2 linked regions of the Drosophila melanogaster genome follow. The protein of the gene in region 1 interacts with the protein of each later gene in a pairwise test. Each region holds a gene or a part of one and is shown on either strand. Other genes may lie near its edges. The genes, in order: CycB3 and Cdk1.

Region 1 (14,721 bases):
AATTAATGCACTATAATGGTTACTTTCAATTGAGGGAACTGGGTAAAGGTAAAGGCATTGCAATAATTTCCATATGGTTGTCATTTCAACAGGGGGCTATCTTAGCCTGATGGGCCTGGTTCAGTATCCGAAAATCTTTAAAGTGGCCATTGCCGGAGCGCCGGTCACCAACTGGGAGTATTACGATACGGGCTACACGGAACGATACATGGATATGCCGCAAAATAACGAGGCCGGTTACTCAGCCGGTTCGGTGCTCGAATACGTAAACTCTTTTCCCGAAGAGTGAGTTCTTAAGCTGGTTCTTAAATTGTCAAATTTTCGAAACATTCATGTTTTCTTTTGTTCAGGGACAAACGCCTGCTGCTCATACACGGCCTGATCGACGAGAACGTGCACTTCTGCCACACCTCGCGTCTGATCAGTGCTTTGAACAAGGCAAACAAGCCGTACGAGGTGCATCTGTTCCCCGAGGAGCGGCATTCGTTGCGTAATCTGGAATCGAATAAAAACTACGAAACTAAATTACTGTCATTCTTGCAAAACTTATGAGATTCGTAAATGTCAACAGCCGAAACAAGATCGCCTGCTTAGGCAGTAAAACTAGACCCGCCCCACGCCCTCGTCCCTTTGCAATAGTTTTTTACATCATTGTCTTTGTTTTTATTTGAATTTTTGTTGTTCGAACTATTGTTTTTATTCGATAAAGAAAATGAGAGAAAACGAAATTTGTATCATATTTTTAGCATACTTAATTTATAAACGTACGCAGTTGTAAGTATAATGGAAAGTTGAATGAATGAAAGTTTACCTGCCACCCAATATTAGACTTCAGATCAAGACCAAGCAGCTTATTGTAATTAATTTATACTTAATGTTCTACAACACACGTCATATACTCTTAACTATGTTTTAATTGTGTTTGATATCCGCAAATGTACATTTTTCCTATCAGTAATTATAAGTTGTGTTTTAGTGCGTATGTACGAGTATGAGTGACTGTATGCGTGTTTTCCACAGAAACGGAAAAAAAAAACCTTAAACTTGTCATGCCTTTGGGGCAGGCCATCAATTAATGTTAGTTCTACGCATGCATATATATATATATATATATATATATTATATATCTCTTCGATAAACCTGACGCAAGTCGTATGCATACTTGATTGAGTTCTTAGAAACCCGCGTTTGGCTGAAGCAACAAAAACTGAATTAAATTTAATATTAATTATGCCTATATATAATCATTAGTTTTACAACTGATACAAGCAAACGTATATATACATATATTTTGTTTAACATTTAAATAAACAGTTGTGTGTAAAAGCAGGTGTTTTACTTTTCTCTCTTGTTTGGATTGATGGGGATTTTTGGGCACTGTTCAATTAATTAAATAAATATATTTAAACAAATTCCTTTCTGTCAGCTGCTCGAGGCTACTTTGATGAGTTTCTTAGTTCCATAAATTTGCAATTGCATATTTAAGCAAACTGCCCAAATAGTTCAATTCACATGTTTTGAACTTCAGACATTTAAATTAGCCGCGCTCTGGAAGACTACCCCCAATGCCTACCTTCACCACAGAGGTGTATTCCAGTCGATTTCCGTTAGGCGACCGAACGCCGCGGTACGGTCACACTGCAGGCCGCATCTGCATCTGGCATCTGGCGGTGTTTTTTTGATTTTTTACTCAGTGCTCTCTATCCCTCCGGCCAAGCGCCATAACTCCACAAAACTCGATCCGGAATTATATTGTGAGTTTGTGTGAATGTCTAGGCTTGATCGAGTCGACAATATCGGCAGTAGCGAACGACTCAAGTTCTAGCCAACACAAAGACCACATTCTGCAAGGAATCCGCTAGCGAGGATCTTGCTGAAACCAAGTGGAAGTGGAGGAGACGAGGACTCCAGGCGCCGCGCACAAGAACACAAACAACAAACGACGAGTGCGCTCACACGCAAACACGCATTCAAAATGGCGCCCACAAAAGCAACAACGCGCGCGGCCATCACAAGCGGGCATCATCAGCTGCAGCAGGCAGTGAATCCCATCCTGGGAGCCCTGGGAGCTGCCACTAGGAAGGGACTGACTCGGAGGGCGGCTGCCACGGGAAACATCGATCCGAATGTGGAGAATATGCAGACGCGCGCCAAACGCAAGGCCGACCACAGTCCAATTAAAAATGACAAAATCAAGCGCTCGGCGCTGGGTAACCTGACCAACAATGTTAAGATCATGACACTGCATCCGGCACAGGATGAGGAGCAGTCGGGCGTGGGCAAAAAGCCAACGGCCCAGCAGCTGCAGGCCCTGATGGATGCTAAGAAACAGGAGAATCTCAGCGTAAATGTCTTTGGCGCCAGTAAGATGACTACGCGCGCCTCCAGTAAAGTGGAGGATTCGGTGGAGAACTGCCACAAAGTGCTCGATAAGCTGGAAGAGGCGTTGGCCAGGCCCAAACCGCGCCCCAAGGCAGTGCCTGCCGCAAAAAAGACCGTTTTGGGGGAGGTTCAGCTACCGGCCATGCCAAATCCTATGCAGATTCCCGTTTTACTGCCGCCCACGCACAATCTGGCTGCTCCCCAGGTTGCCGCCGTCAAGCCAGTTCGTCGGATCTCCAATGACTTCAACAAGACTGAGGACAGCCTGTACATGTCCGCGCTGGAGGATGTCTCCAGTTGCGACTCCATGCGGCTGTCTGGAAACTTTGAGGCGGCGCGACGTCGCTCCGCCAAGTTGCAGCAAAAGACTGAGCAGCAGCCACAGCCGCTGTTGCTGACACTCCCAGAGACTGCTCCAAGCCAGGTGGTGCCCATTCCGCCAGTGCCCGAGGAAGTAGAGGACTTCGACCGCAAGAACTGGGACGATCCCTTCCAGGTGTCCCACTACGCCATGGATATATTCAACTACCTCAAAGTGCGCGAAGCGGAATTCCCCATTGCCGACTATATGCCCAGGCAGATCCATCTGACCACCTGGATGCGCACCCTGTTGGTCGACTGGATGGTGGAGGTGCAGGAAACGTTCGAGCTGAACCACGAGACTCTGTACCTAGCGGTTAAGATCGTCGATCTGTATCTCTGCCGCGAGGTGATCAACAAAGAGAAGCTGCAACTTCTGGGCGCCGCTGCCTTCTTTATTGCCTGCAAGTACGATGAGCGACAGCCGCCGCTTATAGAGGATTTTTTGTATATCTGCGATGGTGCTTATAATCACGACGAGCTGGTGCGAATGGAGCGGGAGACGCTGCGCGTTATCAAGTACGATCTGGGCATCCCGCTCTCGTACCGTTTCCTGCGCCGCTATGCCCGATGCGCCAAGGTGCCTATGCCCACGCTGACCCTGGCTCGATACATCCTGGAATTGTCGCTCATGGATTACGCCAATATTTCGTTCAGTGACTCGCAGATGGCTTCGGCCGCACTGTTCATGGCACTGCGTATGCACGGCGGTCCGGGGCAGCTGGACAAGCAGACGTGGACATCGACGCTTATCTACTACACCGGCTATCAATTGGCGGACTTTGCTGAAATTGTGACCGCGCTCAATGCAGGACTGCATCGCAAGCCACGGGCCACCATCAAGACGATACGGAACAAGTACTCGCACAAAATATTCCACGAGGTGGCCAAGGTGCCGCTGCTGACGAACCAGGAGCTCTTCCAGGGCAACCTTGACCTGAACGAAAGCAATCTGTCGTAGGACAGCCTCAAAGTTTAGCCAAATTCAACATGATACGATACGCTTCACTTAGGCTCTAAGACGCTTCTATTCCCAATATTAGCCCCATCCCGACGAAACAGCGGATCCCCGCCTTAATCTAAAAACCCCTGATTTTACCCCTTACCTAGTGTTCCCGTCAAGTCCTCGCAATTTATTATATTTTAATTATTATTGTGACCTTCGCATTATTGACATGTTTTTTGCATAAATATTATGTTAAGAGTGCTTTTGTTTCTTTTTGCCATGTATTATTGTTTAATTTTCCCACATACCGCATACGTAGCCGAACACAATCAATCTAAACTCGAAAGGCGACATTATCTTTAGCACCCCCACCCAAAAAATCCCAAAACGATTCATGTTTTAATATGTACGTTAGTCTTAAGAGATGCCAGCATTAAATAAACCTAACTCGTAAGCCACCAAAGCAGACACGGATCCCCACTAACTTATTCTACACAGATACACAAACGCAAGGATACGAAGCGACTATGAAAGGCACGTGTGTCCCGTACAACCTGGAAATGCGCTGCGATCAACCCTCGTCCCGTGCACGCCATGTACGCCATGTGCATCTGTTCCTGTCGTCGTTATTAATGCTGTTATTTGTTAAGTCGTTCATGGACTCCCCTCCTTGCGCTCACATTCCCGCCCCTCGAAGGACGCTCACCATCAACTTCCCAGTTCCTGATCATACCGCCCCGCCCCGCCCTGCCTCAGTTCACCTCGTTTATCCATGGATGGTTGATAACGTTGCATTGTTGAAGTAACTAGTTATGTATGTACTCAGTGTTATGTATGTATCGTTTTGCGAGAGAATACCAATAAACATTTTTACGTCCGTTCAAAAATACTTCAATCTTTTTACCATCATTACATTCGGAAAACGGTGGGCGAAGTGAAAAAATTCTTACTTTTAATAGGGTAAGTGCAATAAATTCGTATTTTTATTTTTCTTTCTAGAAAACTCTTTTAAAAACCTGATGGAAGTTTCAAAATCGGGTGAGTATTAACTCAGATATAACTAGTTGAATGCAATTGTAGTATCATTAGTGTTTATGTTTACTTTAAATAAGTATTTTAAATTAGCTGTCTTTATCCAGCATGTTGGAAATGATCCTAGTTCCTAGGGGATTAAATAATTTAGGGCATTATTTTCAATTTCCTAGAATCTGGAATGTATGTATTTGTTGCAGTTCAATCTTTAATTGTTAGAAACAGAGCATAAACTCCTAGATGTCAAAGGTTAAGGGAAAACGTTTAGCACATCTAGACTTCTTTGCCGTGAGTATACCCATTACCCCACCCATTCTAATTCCTTTGTTTCGAATCCTCTCAGCTGAATCTGTGCTCCTTTCTCCGCGCTCATCATAGAACAGCTGATGGCTGATGACCTAAGGACATCAAACCCTGGCTGGAATCGGTTCGATTTGCTACAGGTAAAAACCACCGATACCGTCCGTCCAAATCATTCATAATCCATGAGTGTAAGTGTCTGTCTGTATACTCGTAGTCTGTATACCCCGGGCATGATTCTCTCGAGTTTCCTGCGGTTCCTTGCTTTTGGCGCGCTCGTCCGTCATTTTAGCGCCAAAAATTTGTTAAGGATTTGCGCGGCAGGCTGCGCATGCGCCGCAAGACATCAAGACGTCGTCCCTTGGTTGGGTTCCTTTCCTTTCCTTCGGCCCTCTCTTTTCCGCTGCACAGCGAAACCCAGCCGATTTATGTCGCTGCAGTTGGGTCCAGCGAAGGGCACCAGGAGTACCAATACCAGTAACAGCGTCTCTCTCTGACGCTGATTTTCTACCACCACCTTTGGCTCGCCCAGAGTCCTGCCTTTGTGCGTTCCCTTTTTTTCGGCTGCCTGCCAGCCAGGTAGCTCCTGTCGTCTTCGATTGTGTCCACGCCGGATAAAAGAAGCGGCATTGCCATAAGAATAAGGAAAAGAATAAGGATGGGATGTGAATGTCTTGGGTTAGCTGTCTGTATGGGAGCAGAATGCCGAGTGCATGTGCTTTATTTTTTCCGGTTCAAGGTGCAACTGGTAACTGGCCAGCATTGCTAATTATCTTGGTTGGGTGTGCAGAAATCAAGTTTATTTCGCAGGGACACACAGGATGATAGGCAAAGACAGCTGCCTCTGGCCAAGGAGGCAGCAGCGAAGTTATGACTACGACTCGGATTACTTCACGCCCCACCAACACCATTACCACTACCACCACCACCGAGGTCCACCCATGATGTCGGCCAGCTTCAGTAGGCCGGCGAGTTGAAGGCACCGTTGTATCCGCCCCCATATCCACTGCCATAGCCAAAGGCATTGTGATTGTTCAGCACTCCAAATGGTCCCTTGTGGACGCCATCCTCCTTGTACTCGGTGTTCATCGAGAAATGATGGTCCCAATGGCTCGGATCAGCGGGATTGTGAGCCGGATAGCGATGATAGTTCATGCCGCTGGTGGCAGGAGCCTGACCAGCTGCTCCGGGCACTCCTGCCACTCCAGGTGCTCCCGGAACTCCAGCTACTCCAGGAACTCCTGGTTGAGCCACAGCTCCGGGTAGCACTCCATAGGCGGGGAACTGGGCTGGTTGAGGGTACGCTGGGTACTGTGGCAAGTATACTCCGGGGTAGGGATAGCCAGGATAGGCACCAGTTCCCGGGAAGTAACCAGGTGCTCCTGCACCCACTGGCTGCTGGGGAGGAACTCCCACCGGATACTGAGCAGGAACTGCTCCAGCAACAGGATAGCCAGGAGGAGAAACAGCACCTAAAAAGGGGACATTTCATTAATATCATAATTTCATATATATTTCAAAATGTGGATTTGCTATTCACCAATCTTTTAAATTTTGTATAACTTTTTTGGGAGTTAAGACTTGATATTAGTTTTCTGATTTCACTAAGATAAATGAACCACCTATTAGAAGGACCTACCTGCACTTTGGTAACCACCGGATGATGAGGATCCTCCTGAAGAGCCTCCTGCAGCTGGGTACGGAACTGGAGCCTGTTGTCCAGGAAAACCCGGAGGCGGATAAGCGGGAATCTGGTGACCTCCTGTAATTGTGAGTGCCGGATTTGGTGACTGGTTGCCAGGAAAAACAACGGAGTTCGTACTGGCCACTCGTACGCCAGAGCCACCCTGCTCATGGCCATGGGCATCGTCGATGGATCCAGTTGCGCCCGCATAACCCGATCCCAGCTGACCAAGGCCAGGATAAAGTTGCGAATTGAGATTGGCCCGCTGGCGATGGCGACTGCTGGTAATGCCTCCCGTCAGAGTGGAGGCCAGGTTAAACTCCGTCTTCTGATCCTCCTGACTTTCGTCCCTGCTGAATTGCGAGGCCTGACCGCTGGCTATCTGGATGAGGGCCAGAGCGGCGAATGCGATGACCCTCCTGCTTAACATGGCGTCTTTGGGTACACTAAAGCCCAGAAGCTCACGGCGCGTGTATTTCATGGTGAGATCTGATGACACGAGAGCTTAGCTGAGTGTCTATTTTTGGGGTTATCATCAGGGGCTCAATGCCCAGATATGTAGTTTAAGTCTCATTGAGTGTTCTTTCTAGTAAATTGAATGAGAGAGTCTACACTGAAAGCAAAAGTTGAAAATATAACACAACAATGTGCATATGCATAGATACTAGCCATAAATTTGAACAAATAAATGAATTTTTTAAAGAAATACCCATATACAAATTTATAAATATAAATGTTATATATAAATTTCTTGCAATGTATAAATTTGCGGCCTAAAGCCAAGTAATAGATAAGTTGAGACGCATTTTTGGTTTAGGGATTTCCCAAGCAATTCATAACTCATCTTTGCATAGATGATGATCATGAGTTATGATCCTCCCTTTATATAGAGAACGAAAGCTTTCCCAGTCAACCTTGTTTACCAGTCAATAGATTAGTATTATAAGTACATATGTACATATAGCATTTGTTCCATTACCCAAGGTTCTTCCACTCGATTCCATTCATCTTTCTTATCGCCATGTGCTGCTGCTGGCTATAAAAGCCGCATGGACATTGGGACTATCAGCAAAATTGCTCTACATATCCCAAGATGCAGTTGTTGGCTGCGATTCTAGTGCTAATCCTGGCCAGCTTGGCCCACGGTAGACCCACTTTCGATAAGATTGCGGAGCTTCTGTTCGGCGACCCAAATCATTATCCGCCAGCAAGGCCAGTTGATCCACAGCTACATCCTGGACCAGGTCCACTCATCCAGGAGGGCTACGAGCAGGGCTACGACTATCACTATGGTGGAGGCTACGGCTACGGTGGTAGCCACCAGCAGACGCATCCAGGTGGCTATGCCTATTACCCACCACGACCGGTTCCGGCAGCAAATGACTACTATCCACCACCTTGGTCAGTGCGTCCTTCGCCTGGATACTACTCTCAGCCGTCTCATCCTGCCAGTGTCCATTATCCGCACAAGAATCAGGATCTTTACGGAGGTGGAGGTGGTTACAAGCAGCGGGGTTACTAACGTTCATCCGTCAGATACCCCAGTCTCATCCAATCATGTGCTGTCTCATTTGTTTATGTGTAATTTATTAAAATTTCGTTTATTTCCAACGAGCTTTTAGAACCTGTTTTGAACTTATGACAAAGACGATCTCGGGTGGAGCAATTGAACAATGGTCTACGAATATATATACAACAAGTGTGAATCGGGGAACTCCCTCTTAGAAGATTCATCTTCGTCTCACATCAATGGGAATTGAGGGAACCTCCGGGTTTGGCACATGGATATATTTGCTAGAGCTGGGGAATATAATAGCACGATTTTCGGAGAGTTCGTCCAATGGTTTTGGCAATGGCTCCGGCACGATCCAAGTGGGAAAAGTGGGCGTGGGTGGATCCGGATTATGGGGCGGCACCAACGGCGGTCGATTGGTTCCTATTATGAGCGTATCCTTCGTTGGCTGAGCGGTTGGACGTGGCTGGATCGTGGGAAAGGTGGGCTCTGGCTTAGGTGTTGTCGTTGGAAAGATGGGTCCTGGTATTGGCGTTTGTGGAGTGGTGCTAGACTCATTATCTGGATTCCAATTCGTGTTTGGATCATTGGGATCCGGCTGATCGGGGAGGCGTGGATAGTTATCCCATTCCTGTTCCATCCCTCCATTCCAGCCTGGCCTTGGTGGCGGAGGTCCTCCGCCATTCCATCCTGGCCTTGGTGGCGGTGGCCCTCCTCCATTCCAGCCTGGCATCGGTGGTGGTGGCCCGCCGCCGTTCCATCCTGGTCTTGGCGGCGGTGGTCCGCCGCCGTTAAAACCTGGTCTTGGTGGAGGTCCTCTTCCACCGCCTCCGTTCCATCCTGGACCATTCCATCCTGGTCCTTGCCCTCCACCTCCATTCCAGCCTGGTGCAAATCCTGTTTGAACCCAGTCAAATCCGGGTTGATTCTGATTTCCACCGGCTCCCCACTGCCAGCCGGGTGGCCAGCCAGGAGGCGTCGGTTGCTGACGGTTGGGTGGTGCAAATCCTGGTCTGTGCATTCCTCCTCGATTCGGACCCATCCCCGGCCTTCCTTGCTGCAGTCTCTCGAACTGCGGCTGCTGGTTGAAGCGGTTGTTGTTGTGCATGGCATTGATCAGTCCATTGATAACTCCGAAACCGGGCAGCTGGGCCACCACAGTGACGCCACCGGCGGAGGCAACAGCTCCGCCGGCGGAGGACGAGGAGACTGCAAATTGCGCGAGACACGTGCGTATCCAGATGGATGCCAAAAGCCAGACGAGCCAGGCCTGGCCAGCACACCAAGCTGGCGAAGATCGCGTCATGTTCGGGTGTTCGAGCAGTGATCACCACAAAAGGCGGACTCTAACTGAGGGGGAACTTTTACGCTCCGCCTATGCGATAATCGTTGATGCTTGATTAAACATTGAAAACCTGTCCGGCGATCAGTGAGAGCATGATGAAAATCAGTGTCCGCAACCAGAGAGATCTTAACCGCTCTCCAAAATAGGTCTCAGAGAGATGATCATAATAATAATCAGACGAAAAGTAAACAAACACCTGAAGCTTGAAAACAAAAATTGAGATACATATATAGTATGTAGTATACAGATTGAAGTATAAAAGAATAAGAGATACAGGCGATGAAAGAGATACTTCAAGTGATGAAAAATCCATAATAGAGGAATAAATGGAAGGGACTTACTAGTAGTATCCGTCCAGTCTTTACAGATCTCTGTATGTTAGTGTTATATTTTAATTAATTCAAATTCTTATTTGAAGTACACTCATACGATCTCAGCAGTGTGTATTTATATGGAAGTTTATATAATGGTTGGGGTATGAGATGTCCGTTGTATACTGACCATCTACCATCTGCGATAGCTCAGTCTTCCAGCGGATGAAGCGTGCTCCGCATGCTGATCGTGCCAATCCGCGTGCTATAATAAATCCAGCATAATGCATTAAGTCGCTTGCCCATTGGCCACGCTAATCTTCCAGAGATTCCGACTGTGTTTATGGGAATAAGAAGTCGTAAAAAAAAAGAATTGAAATGAGCTAGACCACAATGTGTCACCATCACAATGTGCCCAACTCCAATCCACAAGGGTATAAATAGAGGGAACTGCGTAGATGAACTGTCAGAACTGGAAGTGATTCGAAATCGAAGCAAGATGAGATCCCGCGATTCCCGATTGACTATCCTAACATTGCTGATTGCGTGCTGCCTGGATTCGAGTGGCGCTCTGTTCTTCAAGTCCTGGAAGACGGGAAAAGGATATACTGGATATAGTGGAGTACAAGACTATGGAGGCTACGGTCAGGGAAACTACGGCTATGGAAGCTATGCTGGAGGATATGGTTACAACTATCCCGCATATAATTCCTACTCTTACCCAGCTTACTCAGGCCACTCCTCTTACTCATACTCCAAAGGAGGACGCAAGCCTTCTGGAAACCGCAAAGGACGCACTTACTCGGACATTCGAAGAGTTATAAATCCCGATCCATACATCGGTCCTGGAGGCAGTCGCTTCCTGCCCCGTACTCCATATTCCGCCCTTTGGGGTTAACGATTCGACCGTCTGAACTCGCATTGTTGTCAGCAGTATTAGCCATTAAAATAAAATCAGCGAAAGTTACATCTAACCACAAGCTGTTAATTATTTTAAGCACTTTAAGCCCGCTACATGTGCGTACGTGTATATTAATCTACGATCAACTGATTTATGATCATCAGCCCGCATTTGCGGAGTAGTCGCGTCCAGTGGATCGCCGGAACGTGATGGTAATTGTAATGAAATGGAGGCGCGACATCGTTTCATGTGGGGATTGGGACAGTGGGGTAGTGGGTAAGGTCCCTGACTGGGATCTCACACCAAGGGATTTCTTTGGGGTAATACCTAACCATATCTGTTATGCACGACAGAATATTCTGATTCTGTATTCTCATGGCTGACAAATATTTTAATAAGCGACTAATAATTGTAGTTGATCGAACGAATCATTGACTAAATATCCCCTAAATAATGAGTTTCGCATAACTGGAAAATTGGCAAATGAATAGCTCAATTATTTTTATAGTTTTCTTATTACATCAACCTTTGTAAAGCCGTAAGTATTGCCGGAAGAAGCTTAATGCCAAAATCATTTAATAACCTGCTAAAACCTCAACAGACATAGTTGCCAGAAATTCTTCGATCCGTTAATGACCCAAGTCATCATCCGACTGGACTTATCATGGCTCACAACTGTGGTATATATAGTCTTTTAACGATCCCATCGAGGTACTTGCGCACGAGTAAGCAAGTGATTCACGCCGAGATGCAGCTGGTCAGCTAGGACTTCCCCCCGGAGCACCGACGACCGGCATTGAGGAAGTGAAACCAGAAACCAGATCGCAGTACAGGAAGGAAGACTTCGGTGCCCAAGTCAGTGGCAACTAATCGCGCCGAACATGGCAATTGTTTATGCAAGAATGTGCTAATACGCCGCCTCAGATGGCGCACCTACGTCATTACTCCAATACCCCGACAGAGTCGCTAATTACAATTTAAATACGTACGAGCGAGCACTTATGCTGAGAGGCTGGGTCGAGTTGCCTACATATGGCTAGATCATTCACAGTGCAATTAGAGTCAAGATCAGGTGTTGGATGTTCATATGTATATGCCAACTCACTGCCGATCGGATGAAATAACGGGCTGCGGTGTGAATGACTTGGCGCTGGGCACCGTGTCAGTAAATATTGAGAAAACAAAGTGATCATAAAAATCCATTTCACACAAAGAGACGAGATCTACGTGAGCGGCAAAGCAATTCTCTTGGGGGCTTCAGTCGTTTGCGAAAACCTGATTGATAAGCCAAGCGTCTGAGAACGCCAAGAACCGATCAGCCGACGATATCCATATAAATAGGCTGGTCACCGGCATCAGTGCAGTTCAGTACTGGAAGCGGAGCACTCACATATCAATTCTTGCAAGCCATGTCCGTCCAAGGAGCCATCCATTGCCTTATGGTCGCCCTGCTCCTTCTTCTGATCGTCGTGTCTGGCTCCCCGGCCCGTGGATACCATCAAACACCGAAGCGTGACGGTCGCAGCTACACGGATATCGCCCGAGTGGTCAATCCCAACCAGTACGCCTTTCCCGGATCCCGCATTTATCCTGGCCAGCCCTTCTGGCCAATGGGATAGGACTGGACTAGCATGGTTAACTTCATATAAACATACATTAAAGACTTGACTCAGCTTTAGCTAGACAATGAACTGCTACATCTTGTACAGGAAAATATTTAATAGGATTAAGCTTAAGATTAGTAACATGAACAGTGTGTCAAAGACTATTCCAATGGAATACTATGGCAATTAAAAATGTCATAAAGTACAACCTTTCTGCTTTAACTTCTAAAGTTCCCCCTAAACTAATCATAATTAACCGCATTAATGAAGGAAACGCATTAGCTAGTCACGCCTATTTCGTGATACTTTTATTCATCAATGAACACTTGTAAGCTATACAAACTCTTAGTTACCAGTCAGAGTTCAACAAACAGTAGCTCGGAAAGGATTGGAGTAAATAAAGACCTCAGAAATATGGTCAAGCTGGCATCAACATCCAATGCCATTTGGTGGATTAAGAATCCCAAGGCAGCCGGGGAACATAATTCCAAAGGTAAACGCAAGGAGTCCTTGGGCTCAGCCTTCTGCTTGGATATGGCGGATCTGGTTAGAAACATATCCCTACAGGGTTACAATAAGCTTTTGTCACCGGACTTGACCTTGGGACAAAGGTACAAAAGTTTTCCCAAATATTACTCATACGCAACGTAAGCCGGCATAGTCATATTTTAATAGATTGATTTGGTTGCTGGTACACATGGCCACCACCGTCTCCCTGATTGTGGTGCTCTCGCTAACATGGGAGCAGTTCGTGGCCCAATCCTTTGTGACCAATCTGAAGGATCCTCTTTTTCCAGTGGAGAATGTGCCATTCCCGGCTGTTTCCATCTGCCCCAACAATCGCATCTCTCGCCAGGCAGTTATCCAATATGCTGAAGAATTGTGAGGCTAAAATTATTGAAATAAATATTTGTGTACTTAAATTTTTGTTGTTATATTTATTGTTAGGAGGTTAAACAGTCCTGTAATTCGCCCAGTGGAATACTTTCTAGAGCGCCTAAGGTTCTTCCGCGAGTTCTATACACACGTTGGCGTAGTGGTGGACACCGATGACTTCATTACCTTCCAGACCTTCCTCGACGTCTTCGGCACCTGGAACAATGAGACCTTTTTCGACACTCGCCGCATAATGAAAATGGTAAGAATAGCACGGATCGAGAATATATTGAATCTTGTTTCTATTTTTCACAGTTGACCCCGCGATGCCAAGGATTCGTGCTGAAGTGCACCGTAGCCAATGTGGAAGTGCCCTGCTTCAGCAAGGATGCCTTTCAGGATAGCCTTACCATGTACGGACCCTGCTGCACCTTCAACATGGAGAACAAGTTAATGGTAGCTCTTATTATTATTTCTTTTTTAACCAAATCTTCAACAGACTAAAGAAACGGCACTTCAAGAATCGTCTAGCCAGCTCGGAACTGGGTCTGAAAGTAGTCTTGAACGACAGTCACGTGGACTACTTTGCCCCCATTCTGAACACCAATGGATACATTGTCATGATTCACAATGCTGAAAACTATGCCTCGGTTTATTCCTCCAATGTGCTCGAGATGTTTCCTGGCCAAGGAGAGGATAGCTACATTGCGGTCTGCGCGCGAGTGGTGGACACTGATGATAGCCTAAAATCATTTTCGCCGTTCAGTGTATGCTGTTCTATTTTTCAAATTCAAGACCACCTATAATATCAATCTTATAGCGCCGCTGTTATTTTGAGTACGAGGCACAGAATCCGATCCATGAGCAGCTAATGAACACGTACAGCCTTAGCTACACCTTCCCGAATTGCATAACCAGGTGCCGGATCCGGAGTATCATTGCCTTGTGCCGGTGTCTCCCCTTCCAAATGCCCCTTCAACTGGTGGAAAATCTCGATGGCGTTGTCTACTGCACCTTGGGACACGTTTCCTGTCTCAATCAGTACATATGTAAGCCAATCAGCGGCTTACGCGCACACGTTCTTCCATTTCAATATTTTCGTTTCCAGTTAAGTGGCGCAATATACTGACGGAACGGCACATTGTTAATGGCTTGGAGCGGGAAATCGAGGAGGCTCTTTATTGCCCACAATGTCTGCCCTCCTGCCGGGATGTCCAGTACGAGGTTTCAATGAGTGCCCTGCCAATCGATAACTACCTGGCCACGCTGAAGCTGGACGAGAACAACGAGACGGAGTTCGGTACAGACATCTCCGTTCTCAGGGTTTACTTCGGAGACCCCCATGCCCAATACTATATCCGACTGCTGAATAACACCTGGTTCGAAGTATTCAGTGGGTTTGGATCTACACTCTTCCTATGGCCAGTTGTATCGAATTTTTCCAATTTACAGGTACCATAGGTAACA
Region 2 (12,136 bases), on another chromosome or scaffold:
TATAAAGTTGAATTAGAAAAGTATACGATCCGCGGAGCCTCGAATTCGGAAATAATGGAACCGAAAAGATGGCACTTGCATTTATCATGTTTTTTGCTACTCCTTAGTTCAACTTTTTCTGGTAAGCAAAGGTCGCCAACTTTATGAATCGTTAAACGATTTTTATCACTTTTGCGCTAAGTTGTATGCTATAAATTGGAAGCGAAAACCTTCGATTGCGTTTTTACTTTATTTTGATTGCTTTTGAAGGTAAATAAAAAAAAATATTAAATACCAAGAGAAATTAGTGAACGAAAAATTTTATTTCTATGCAAAAGTAATTAAAAATAAAACGAAAGCTATGAAAACGAAAGCTATGAAGGCATAGATAAAAGATACATTTTTAAGTTTCATTTTTACATTTTACATTTTTAAGTTTTTTTTTTTTAACATTTCACCGCAAATCACTTTGGATTCATTCATTTCATGTGATTTTTGACACATTTATATTAAGAGATTTTGTTTAATATTCATTGAACAACCATTTCAGATGTCGGGAAGATCACTTCGTCTCAAAATCATTTTGGTAACACCTTACAAAGTCAATTTAATACGAAGAACAACACTCGAGTTATTGCACAAAAGGGAGGACTTGCCATTCTGCCCTGTGTGGTCAAAGTTAACTCCCCAGCCACGGTGAGATATATGTTTTTCTTAAAATTTATACATCGATTCTAATACTTAGACCTTTTGCAACATTTCAGGTTTCCTGGATACGTAGAAAGGACTTCCAGCTCCTGACAGTGGGCCTATCCACCCACAGTAGTGACAAGCGATTCTTGGTGGAGCACACGCGGCACATGGGCCACTGGTCCCTGAGAATTAAGGCAGTTCGGGAGGAAGATCGCGGTTTTTACGAGTGTCAATTGTCTATTTATCCAACTCAGTCAATAGTTATAGAATTAAAGATTGTCGGTAAGTGGACGCAGCTGCCTTACAAAGTTCAAAGCTTAACGGGTATTGAATCTTTTCGTTGTATAGAAGCGGTAGCTGAGATTTCTAGTGCACCGGAATTGCATATTGATGAGACTTCTACTCTGCGACTCGAATGCAAACTGAAGCGAGCTACCGAGAATCCTGCATTTGTTTTTTGGTATGAAAAATAATATGAGTTAGATTTGTAAAATTTTATATTATTCTAAACATAAGACCCAACTTAACCGAATGCAATTTCTTCAATTTAGGTACCATGATAGTAAAATGATCAATTACGACTCACAAGGCGGCTTCGTTGTGACATCGATTGGGCAAAGCAATCCGCAGAGTGGCCAGTTTTACCGTAGCTCGCCGGCGAACAAATCGCGCGCCACCATGCCCATGGAGTCCAGCAATGGGGTGCTCAACAGCCTGCTGGGCAGCTCGGATGCTATCAAGGCACCGGCCGCCAATGTGCCCTCCTCCACGCCCTATATGACGCAACAGCATCAATCCGCCTATCTCCTGAATCCCTCGGTCAGTGTGCTTACTGTGAAGCAAGTCAATTTCCGTCATGCCGGCAACTATACATGTGCTCCATCAAATGCCCGTCCTGCCAGCATTACAGTGCATGTTCTAAGGGGTAAGACCGCCGCCGGTCGATATTTAAATATATGTCATACTCATTGTAATTATAATAGGTGAGAAAACGGCGGCCATGCAGCACGCCAATCGGAGCATTTTGGATACGGAGACCAACGGCAACGGCACCTTCGGATTGATCACATTGGGTGGACTGAATGGAACTAGCGGCGTAACTCTGGCCGGGGGAATCCTCTACTTCTCTGGGCTGTTCCTGCTGATGGGCGCGGTGGTATTCGATCGATTCTCGTTGGCGGCAACTCACAAGGTATTCGTAGCATTTATAATAGTCACTATGCATAGCTGAAACTTATAATCGATGGTATTTGGAATGGAGCAACTTCAATCATTCGAGGATATTATATTTGAGAATATTTGTTTTAAAATAGAAGATTGTAAATAGATCATTGACATACCATATTGAGATGCCGGCGTGGGCATGGTAAGACATTTAAAGTAATCTAAGAATAAACTGTAAATAGACTTCCATTACATGCAATGTATTGAATTGAGAAATAAGATGAGAATTCACGAACTTGTTACCACAAAACTTATAAAATGCATACCTATGCCAATAAGTCATGGGGGATTGAAAACCGCATATTTTGATGGTTCATAGTGGTACGTAAGATATAATGTATGCTTAGATGTTCATATTTATTGACTGGTACTGGTACTGACATTTTAATGTTACAAACAATGGAATTAGCGTAAAATGATAATGATAAAGCCATACAGATTTGTTACCTAATAACTCGGAAAATTTGATCGTCACCTTTAAACTGTTATTCTGCTCAGTGTTCGATATTTAGTATATAGATTGATTTATGTAAGCACCTTTAGAAGTATGCTAATTCATATACTGTATGTACAACTGTAAATAAATATTACTTCCGTGAGCGTTTTCAAAAGCGCTGTCTTCAATCCAAAATGGGCAGAAGTGCCAGTTTCGTTTTGTTTACCCTCGAATACGGAGTGCAAAACGACTTTTAAATTTTGTTGCCGACATAAGAACGTTTTAAATAAACAGATCAATTTTAAGAAACCCGCTTCTGGTTAAGTTATTTGCTCTTCAGTTGGGTGGTACACATTTAAAAAATGAATACGAAAATGTTATGAATATTTTTGAACTCATTTTCAAATGTAAGACCCCCTTCCGATTTCTGTTTCATATACCGCAGTTCCGTGAGGTGCAATCTTAGCTTGTCGTTGTATTTGACACAAGTTATCGATAATTCTACATAGCTGAACTACCATCGCTGAAAAATGTTGGCAAAACAAAAAGATGAGATCCGAAATTTTGGCAAGCGCCTTTTTGGGCCTGGCGGTTAGGTCGATTATCTCGCTGTACTCCTACTCCGGCTTCGATTCCCCGCCGATGCATGGCGACTACGAGGCCCAGCGCCACTGGCAAGAGATCACGGTCAATCTGGCAGTGGGGGAATGGTACACAAACAGCTCCAACAACGATCTTCAGTACTGGGGCCTGGATTATCCGCCTCTGACGGCCTACCACAGCTATTTGGTGGGTCGCATAGGAGCATCCATTGACCCCCGCTTCGTCGAGCTGCACAAGAGCAGGGGATTCGAGTCGAAGGAGCACAAACGCTTCATGCGCGCAACAGTTGTTTCTGCTGACGTGCTCATCTATTTGCCGGCAATGTTGTTGCTGGCCTATTCCCTAGATAAAGCCTTTCGAAGCGATGATAAATTGTTCCTATTCACGCTGGTGGCCGCGTATCCCGGACAAACACTCATCGACAATGGACACTTTCAGTATAATAATATATCACTGGGCTTTGCCGCCGTGGCAATTGCCGCAATCTTGCGAAGAAGATTCTACGCGGCTGCATTTTTCTTCACTTTAGCCCTTAATTATAAGCAAATGGAGCTGTATCACAGCTTGCCGTTCTTTGCGTTCCTTCTGGGTGAATGTGTAAGCCAAAAAAGGTGGGTACTTGCGATTCAAAACGACTTTTTTTTAATAGCAAGACAGCTAAAGAATCCTCGATACTAAATCTAAACTCATCTTAATCTTTTCAACCACAGCTTTGCTTCTTTTATCGCTGAAATCTCACGGATAGCAGCCGTTGTCTTAGGAACATTTGCTATTTTATGGGTTCCTTGGTTGGGATCTCTGCAGGCCGTACTTCAAGTACTCCATCGCCTGTTTCCTGTCGCCCGAGGAGTTTTTGAGGACAAGGTGGCCAATGTTTGGTGTGCCGTCAACGTAGTTTGGAAACTAAAGTAAGAAAGTAGAATCAAGTTGGATACAATTTTGTAATGTAACAAATTGTAGGAAGCATATCAGCAATGACCAAATGGCCCTTGTGTGCATTGCATGCACGTTAATTGCATCTTTGCCAACAAATGTACTACTCTTTCGAAGGCGAACTAATGTCGGATTTCTATTAGCGCTTTTCAACACGAGCCTGGCATTCTTCTTGTTTTCATTTCAAGTAAAAACATTGAACTTTAAAGCGAGTTTTGTATTAAAACTTATATATTTTTAGGTGCACGAGAAGACCATTTTGCTGACTGCTTTACCAGCACTTTTCCTACTTAAGTGCTGGCCCGACGAAATGATTTTATTTCTGGAAGTTACCGTATTCAGCATGTTGCCTCTTCTAGCAAGAGATGAATTGTTGGTGCCCGCCGTAGTGGCCACTGTGGCTTTTCATTTGATATTCAAATGTTTTGATTCAAAGTCGAAGCTCAGCAACGAATATCCACTGAAGTACATTGCAAATATATCGCAGATTCTGATGATCAGTGTTGTGGTTGCTTCTCTGACCGTTCCGGCACCTACAAAGTATCCAGATCTTTGGCCCCTTATTATTTCGGTTACAAGCTGTGGACACTTCTTCTTGTTTTTCTTGTGGGGAAATGTTCAACAATTTAGCAGCAAGTTAAGTTAGTTTCTAAGATAAGCATTCCATAACAATATCTACAACATAAGCCAAAGAAATGTTTGTAAGCCCTTTATCGAGTCTTGTTTTATTTTGTGCCAATTATGTTTAATTTAAGCAGTTAATTCAAGGTGAAATAAGGTATTTGGGTATAAATGGCTTAGTCACTTCCAATACTCTTATAGCCCTTTTCCCGTATCTTATCATGGATTTAATCAGCGTATAGTGTCTACACTATGCACAAAGGGTACTAGTGTGGATATAAACCAAAATAATTCAGAATTAATATTGTAAAAAGATTCACTTGCTTAAAATATGTGAATTTTGGTTTTAATCTTATTGAATTTAATTTTAACGCATTTCGAAAGTCGAATGACCCACAAAAGCGACTATTTTGTTGGATAGTGTATCAATGCTTTTGAAGAGATAAGATAAGATAACTCGTGAAATATTAGGTGAATAATATGTGGGGTTTTGTTCATTGTGCTCTTGTTAGTTATGTACAGTTAATCGATCGGTGAACACGCCTATAGTTCAATTTTAGTTGGCAAAAGAATTTTGAGAACTATGAATTTAACAAAATCAGCTACGTTAGCTGCTGCGATTTTTTGTATCGTTTTGAGCCAAGTTTCTGGGCAGACGAAAGATGAAACCACCACAACCGAGACGCCAAAGGTACCACATAAAGTGTTTAATTTTTAATTTTCTGAAATTGGTGTGGGTGTGCGTATTACGAATGCAATTGTAAACTGAATAATAAAGCCGATTACATTACCAATGGAATTGATACATATAGTTAGATTTCAAATATCATTTGTGCAACTTAACTAAAAAGATATGTGCATACTGCTGTAAATTAGTGAACAGATTATGTTAAATTGTGTTAAATATTTGTGAAAGTAATAGAATGACTAAATTATATGTATCACTATCAAATTCGTGATAAGAAAAAGTCTTGCAAAGCTAAATCGATAAAGATGACTCAAAGAAAGACCGAAAAATTCACCACACAAAAAATTTAAAAAAAAATGAGAACAGTGTGTAATATAAATAAGTTGTTTAAAAATCGCAATAAAATTTAATTTAATTTCTATGTTTGTCGAAGGTAAAATTAACCATCTAAAAATTAACGAAACCGACATATTAAGACATGGCAAAGCTATGTCCAAGAAACATTTAACTATATGGTAATCATTAGTTATTTAGTTCGCTATATAATACACACTACTTGCAGGAAAAAATCAAAGTAATTGATAGCAAATTGTGTAAGAAGTGCAATTGCTATATCGACACCAATTTGCTGGATTGCTCCGAAAAACTGCAGGATTGGTTGTCCGCCGAGGACTGGGAGGATCTGACCAACGGCAATGTTGTGTTCAAAACAATCAATCTGGAGCACAACAATCTGACCAGCGTGCCAATTCTGCCGAAATACGATGTGGAGAACTTGTACTTGGCTAACAACCAAATCGATTCAATTTCCGTGGGAGCTTTTCAGAATTTAACCGAACTAGTCACACTCGATTTGTCGCATAACCGATTGACTTCGAAAGTTCTGGTACCGGATGTTTTTAAAGGACCCTTCACTGTCCAAGATTTTGAGTCATTGGAAAATCTAAAGACTCTTAACTTGGGATACAACGATCTGCATAGCTTGGATGCGGATCTGTTTGAACACATTCCCCACATTGAGGAACTCGTTCTCTGCTCAAATAGTTTTCATGTCATCGATCAACTTTCAGAAACAGCCATTTCCGGCTTACAATCGTTGAAGGTATGCGAAATTCATATGTTTTTATAATTCTACGAACTCAAAAGCTCGTTTATGTTGTTCGTTTTAGATCTTGGATGTCTCTTATATGGAAATCGATGACTTGCCGGATACAATTCTACATGGTCCCCGAGATCTTGAGATCTTTATAGCAGCTGGCAATCTGTTTAATCAATTGCCAAAGGCCCTGAAATATGCGACGAACTTGACCAGCCTGGTCTTAAACGAAAATCCCATCGAAAATTTGATTGGCGACAAGTAAGAGTCATTCTAGGATTCGTTTAAGTGTATGCGCAAAACAATATATTTATTAATTTTTTCAGTGTATTTCCACCTTTGACCAAATTGACCCACCTCAGCATGACTTTTATGTCCAAGTTGTACAAAATTGGGCCAGGAGCATTTAGTGAACTGCAAAGTAAGTTGTGAACCTGCGCGCACTAATGGCTAATGGCTTAATCGAACAACCATCTTTCTTTAGGTTTAACTGAACTGATATTGTCCGACAACAAACTGCTAAATGAAATTGATGAGGAGGCTCTATCCAAGAACGTAACTGGTGGCCAGTACTTGGACTACCCGCCATTGGAAAAGGTAATTCAAGTGCAAAAGCATGTAGAGCTTTAATCAACTAAATAACATAAACTTTTAGGTTTACTTGAATAATTGCAACGTGTCGACTTTGCCGAAAGAACTACTAGTGCGCTGGGATAAACTTAAGGCTCTGGATCTTAGATTCAACCCGTGGAATTGCGACGAATCCAATGACTTCTTGATCAACGTCTTGATAGATCGAATCAACAAGACCACGCCCGTTCTGGCCAAAGATGTCAAATGTGGCGGTCCGAACAAGTTAAACGATGTTACGCTGCTCAGAGTGGCGAATGAACATATGATAGAAAGTTCGACGGGCAGTCTTATATGGGTTGGACTCTTGGTTGTCCTGCTCATCGCGGTGCCGACCATCATTGGTGCTTACGTGATGAAGAGGCGCGGCTGCTTTGGCGTCTTTAGACGTCATGACAGCGGTGCTAGCAGTGCTCTCTATAATAGGACTAGTTTCAACGAGGATTTCCATATTTAACTTTCTTTTTGTATAATAATTAAAGCCTTGAAGCCTTATTATTCTGTTAGAGCGCTGGTAATTTGGCGTAAATCTGTAAATACACTTACATAAATTAAGTAAACGTTGATTGTTTTACACCCTTAGTTTTATTTACGGCTATTTTGCTTTAGATTAGATACCAAGATCTCTTGTTTTAAAATTCTTAGTTAAAGTCAAACGAGAATACCGAACGTTAATTTCGAACTAAGCCCGATTGAAAACCATTGAAATAGGGATGCTCCAAAATGTCCTTGGCGGAAATGCGATGAACTGGATCGTAGATTAACATCTTTTGTATGAGATCAATACCATTCGCATCGAGATTCTTTAACTGATTGGTCAATTGGTTCGTGGACCAGCAGGGGAACGTGTTCTTATAGTCGGGTAGCGAAGTAACGCCCGGCCAAATGTCTTCGGTAGGTGTTTTCAGAATTCTGCAATCAATGAGTGTGAGTATCACAGGGAATAGAAAGTAAATTACCTGTGGTTACCTAAACATTCTAAACAACTGGTCAATTTCCGAGTCACCCTGGAATAGCGGCTTTCTCGTTGCCATCTCCGCGAATATGCATCCAATGGACCAGATATCGACGGGACAGGAATACCGGGGTGAACCCAGTAGCACCTCCGGCGCTCTGTACCACAAGGTAACAATCTCGTGCGTATAAATGCGCACCGGAATGCCAAAGGATCGGCCAAGTCCAAAGTCGGCGACTTTTATGAGGCCACTCTTGTCGATTAGTAAGTTCTGCGGCTTAAGATCACGGTGAAGTACTCGCCGACGATGGCAGAAAAGAATGGCGCTAGTTATTTGGTACAAATAGCTACGGACCAATTCACTCTCCATGTGCTTATCAACTGGCAGCGAATCCATGTATTTCTTGAGGTCCATCGATAGGAATTCAAAGATCAAGTATATGCGGTTCTCCTCCATCAAAACATCCTCCAAACAGACAATGTTTTCATGTTTCAACTCCTTAAGCAACGAAATTTCTCTGTAATGGATATTAAATATTACTACATTATAGAAAAAACATGTGATTAAAGTATTTTAGTTATTGGTCTATCAGTTGAACCAGAAAGTATTCGCAGGCTTCCAATTAATAAACATAAATAGAAAGTATGATGATGTACACATGAGCATAAGTACGCATATAGGATTGTACATACACACACATATGTATGATGAACATAAGCCGTAACATAATTATGCTAGACTTCCACAGTATAAATTAAAAACAATATTGCAAAATCTTCAAACCAACCCATAAGATGTCAAGGAACATACTTTCAATTAAGCATATAAGCCATTTGAATGGAAAAGTCGCGAAAGAACATGAAACATTTTGAGGCTTGGGCGTCCAAGCCGCGGCATTTTACCTGATCGCGGTTGATGGAACGCCTTCGTCGTCGGACTCCAAGCGGATTTTCTTCATTGCCACAATTTGGCCCGTCAGGCGGTTGCGACCCTTATACACCACGCCATATGTGCCCTCGCCAATCTTCTCAATTTTCTCAAAATCCTCCATAATTTATTAAGCTATTTCTTTGCAAGCCACCGACTTTTAAATTAGCGCGTTTTTGACGTATATGCTCTAGTATTACCAGACAGTTTAAACGATGCTAAGCTAGCTACATTTATTCATTTGGAATGTGGGAATGAAACTCAATATTCAGGCAACTTATTGAATTGCTGTATCTTAAAAATGTTGTTAATTTTTTTAAAGTTAATTTTAGTGTACTGTAAAATTCCACGCTTTTTTTTATAGTGATTTCAATTAATTAAGACATCACTTTGTTTGAGTTCGGAGACAAACGTTTCTGCTAATATACTATTAATTAACTTATGAGTTTTTGGTGCAATTAATTTCTATTTTATATCTTTTGAAGGTGAGTACCAGTAGTACGGTACTAAAGAAATTAATTTAAAAAATGTAATTGGAATACCGCAACTGTTTTACTTCATTTTTGTTGTTTCAAAATTACTAAGCTCTTTGTCGATATCTTGACACACCTATATGCATGCCGCAAATGTGCATAACATATATATAACATAGTTTTTTTATTTTTTGCCGACACAGCAGACGATGTAAACATGTCGCTTTTAGGTAGGATTGCAGAGAAAACTTCAAGGCTCAGGTAAGTTAAACTTCTCTAAAGTGTTACTTATCTCTAAAAACACAAATGACTGATCACCCATTTGTTTATTGTAGCTGCCTTCGATTGATGTCGGTGTATCCCACACACTATGTCGAACCAATTGTACAAAAATATAAACAACTAGAGCAAAAGAATGATCTGTCCAAGCTTTACCATGTGCCCATCAAGGCGGCGGTCAACAAATCGTCTGATACCATCTTTCACGACGATACAAAACATAAAATGATCAATTATATAACGAAAAAGGGGAACAGTGCCTTGGCCAGAACGCTTTTGTCCAAGACGCTGGAGCTAATAAAACGAACCCAGACGGAGCACATGAATCTGGCCAAAGGGGAGAAGACAACCATAAACACCAATCCCGAAACGCTTCTGAAACAAGCGGTTGAAAACTGCCGACCGCTCCTTCAAGTGACCGCCATAAAACGTGGTGGTGTCACCTATCAAGTCCCTGTTCCCATCACCACGAAGCGGTCATATTTTCTGGCCATGAAGTGGCTCTTGGAAGCTGCCCGCGAGAAGGAGCGTAAGGTGTCCCTGCCGGAAAAGTTGGCCTGGGAGATTCTCGACGCAGCCCATGGCCAGGGAAGGGTCATCAAGCGAAAGGACGATCTGCACAGGCTGTGCGAAAGCAACCGCGCCTACGCACATTACCGATGGAGCTAAATGCACAACAAACTGTTTTTCCAATGCAATAAACTTTTCATATACCTGTTAATATCTATGATTAGGATTTGTGTCCGGGGAATGTCTTAAGAGAGCGGAATATCGAAATAATTCCTGGATTTATGGGGACTAAAAACGAGGACCTTAGTAAAATTGTATGAAGCTATGATACCATTATAAAAACACATTTCTAATATTTTTTCTTTATTTTTCCTTATACGTTGTTTATAGTAGATTTGAAAATTGGATTTTCCAAATGGTGTTATAGCTATTGAAACCCAAAGTTTTTCTTATTACACTTATACTAAGTTTTTATATAAATTTCTTCAACCCATTTACCTGGTTCGTCGTGTTTTAAGCTTCTGAATTTAATTTAAAATTATAGCACAGCTTAATAACAGAGTCTACTCTTTTTAGAATTTTTCTATTTAATTTCAGTATAAAATGCAATTTTATACAAATAAATTATCCTGATTGTCTCAAAAACATATTTTTTCAAGTGCAAAGTTAAAAAATGTAACCTGTTTATCGCGCAACGACAACGGTGTAAACAGTGCGTTAAGGTTGTCGAGGTGTACGTCTATCGAAGGGACTATCGATTCTTATCGAATCGCAACGCTACAGATGACGCACGAAGAGAACAAAGATGGCGATCCCGAGCACACGAAAATTAAAACGAGCTGAATGATAAATAAAGAATTTTTTACCTATAGTTGAAATTCGCATAAGCGCAGTGAACTAAAATAGTTAATAGAAGTGTCATGCATATTTGCAATGTGTAAACGAAGAGTTTATCGCAAAACGGTTTACTTTAGCTGTGCATTTTGATATAATCCCAAAACACATAATCGTACTACTAGTTGAAGTCGACTGGACGACATTACAAAAAAAAAAGTTGGGTAAACTTATCAAACTGTTGTTGAAAACACAAGGATTCTCGGTATTAATACGAAAGAGATATGTATATGTAATACATACGCTGCTGGTGGCTCAACGTCAACACTCGCTGCAACAAAAGGAATTGCATACATAGAATTAACAGTGGATATTAGGGTGAGTACTTTTCACGAAATGTATTTTATTTCGGTGCAGGGTATGTTTTCTAGCCGTTCGATTACACTTTTTATGCTGCCCATGGATCTGCATACGTTTATTTGTTGAATGTGTGTATATACCCGTGCGTATACAGCCTTATGTACGAATTAATTCCTCTTAAATGTATGTGGATACCATTTTCATGATTCTGCATACATACACATGTATGTATGTATATGTATATACGAATGCTCGTAAACAAAGTAACTACTTATGTACAAACGAGTAAATGGGTGTAAGAGCGTATGAATTAACTTTATTCTCCAAGTGCGTGTGCTTGTGTGTGTGTGTGTGCGTGTGCATTTGTTCGTTTGGGAAGTTATTTTAAGTTTTATTTTCGTGCAACAAACTCACGGTTTTCATATACCATGTACGTGTATATTTAATGTAAGTATCATGTACATGTGTTCATGGAAAATGTTGTGAATCAGGTGTAGAAACATTTCAAGAATCGGTATTGTGTTAGTTTGTTAAATAGATTAATATCATTAATGATTATAGCATTAAAAGGCTCCGTGAGTTTTAAACAATTTGTTAATTTTTAATGTTTAATCTTTGGAAAAAATTAGGCATTTAAACTAATGAATTGAACTAATTATTATTGTTATCTGTAAGGTTAGCATAAGAAGTTAAGTATTTGTTTGACTAGGAATTCTGATATAAAACAAGAAAGGTCAGGTATAACATGGGTTCCCAAAAAAATATGTAAATACAAATATTTGTATGAAGCATATTTTTATTAAACCAACCAAATATAACAGTTTTAGTTGTGCTAGCACACATTTATAAACTATTTTACAGGTAGGAAAGGTTCCAACACTTGCCACGCCCACT

The links.
Region 2: the proteins of CycB3 (region 1) and Cdk1 interact in binary tests that used the Drosophila melanogaster proteins (3 or more experiments, as listed by UniProt).

What each region holds. Positions count from the first base shown.
Region 1 is NT_033777.3:24,857,783-24,872,503, reverse strand, and holds CycB3 (cyclin B3), read left to right. Parts: upstream 1-1,687; 5' UTR 1,688-1,975; coding exon 1,976-3,703; 3' UTR 3,704-4,570; downstream 4,571-14,721. Other genes in the region: CG3744 (uncharacterized protein), read left to right, coding at 93-285, 351-552; Elal (Elastin-like), read right to left, coding at 5,978-6,492, 6,660-7,134; Srg1 (Sting-regulated gene 1), read left to right, coding at 7,798-8,226; CG7016 (uncharacterized protein), read right to left, coding at 8,435-9,523; CG13640 (uncharacterized protein), read left to right, coding at 10,373-10,771; CG13639 (uncharacterized protein), read left to right, coding at 12,184-12,393; ppk22 (pickpocket 22), read left to right, coding at 12,793-12,989, 13,054-13,260, 13,327-13,516, 13,570-13,703, 13,754-14,021, 14,075-14,303, 14,363-14,647, 14,707-14,721. UniProt on the Drosophila melanogaster protein: Cyclins are positive regulatory subunits of the cyclin-dependent kinases (CDKs), and thereby play an essential role in the control of the cell cycle, notably via their destruction during cell division.
Region 2 is NT_033779.5:10,377,268-10,389,403, forward strand, and holds Cdk1 (Cyclin-dependent kinase 1), read right to left. Parts: upstream 8,996-12,136; 5' UTR 8,911-8,995; coding exon 8,762-8,910; intron 8,377-8,761; coding exon 7,873-8,376; intron 7,816-7,872; coding exon 7,575-7,815; 3' UTR 7,472-7,574; downstream 1-7,471. Other genes in the region: dpr19 (defective proboscis extension response 19), read left to right, coding at 55-121, 530-675, 744-954, 1,021-1,132, 1,224-1,597, 1,656-1,903; gny (garnysstan), read left to right, coding at 2,882-3,546, 3,646-3,843, 3,896-4,055, 4,110-4,514; CG5096 (uncharacterized protein), read left to right, coding at 5,073-5,180, 5,740-6,279, 6,347-6,534, 6,600-6,694, 6,758-6,870, 6,929-7,360; mRpS7 (mitochondrial ribosomal protein S7), read left to right, coding at 9,477-9,520, 9,595-10,207. UniProt on the Drosophila melanogaster protein: Plays a key role in the control of the eukaryotic cell cycle. Required for entry into S-phase and mitosis.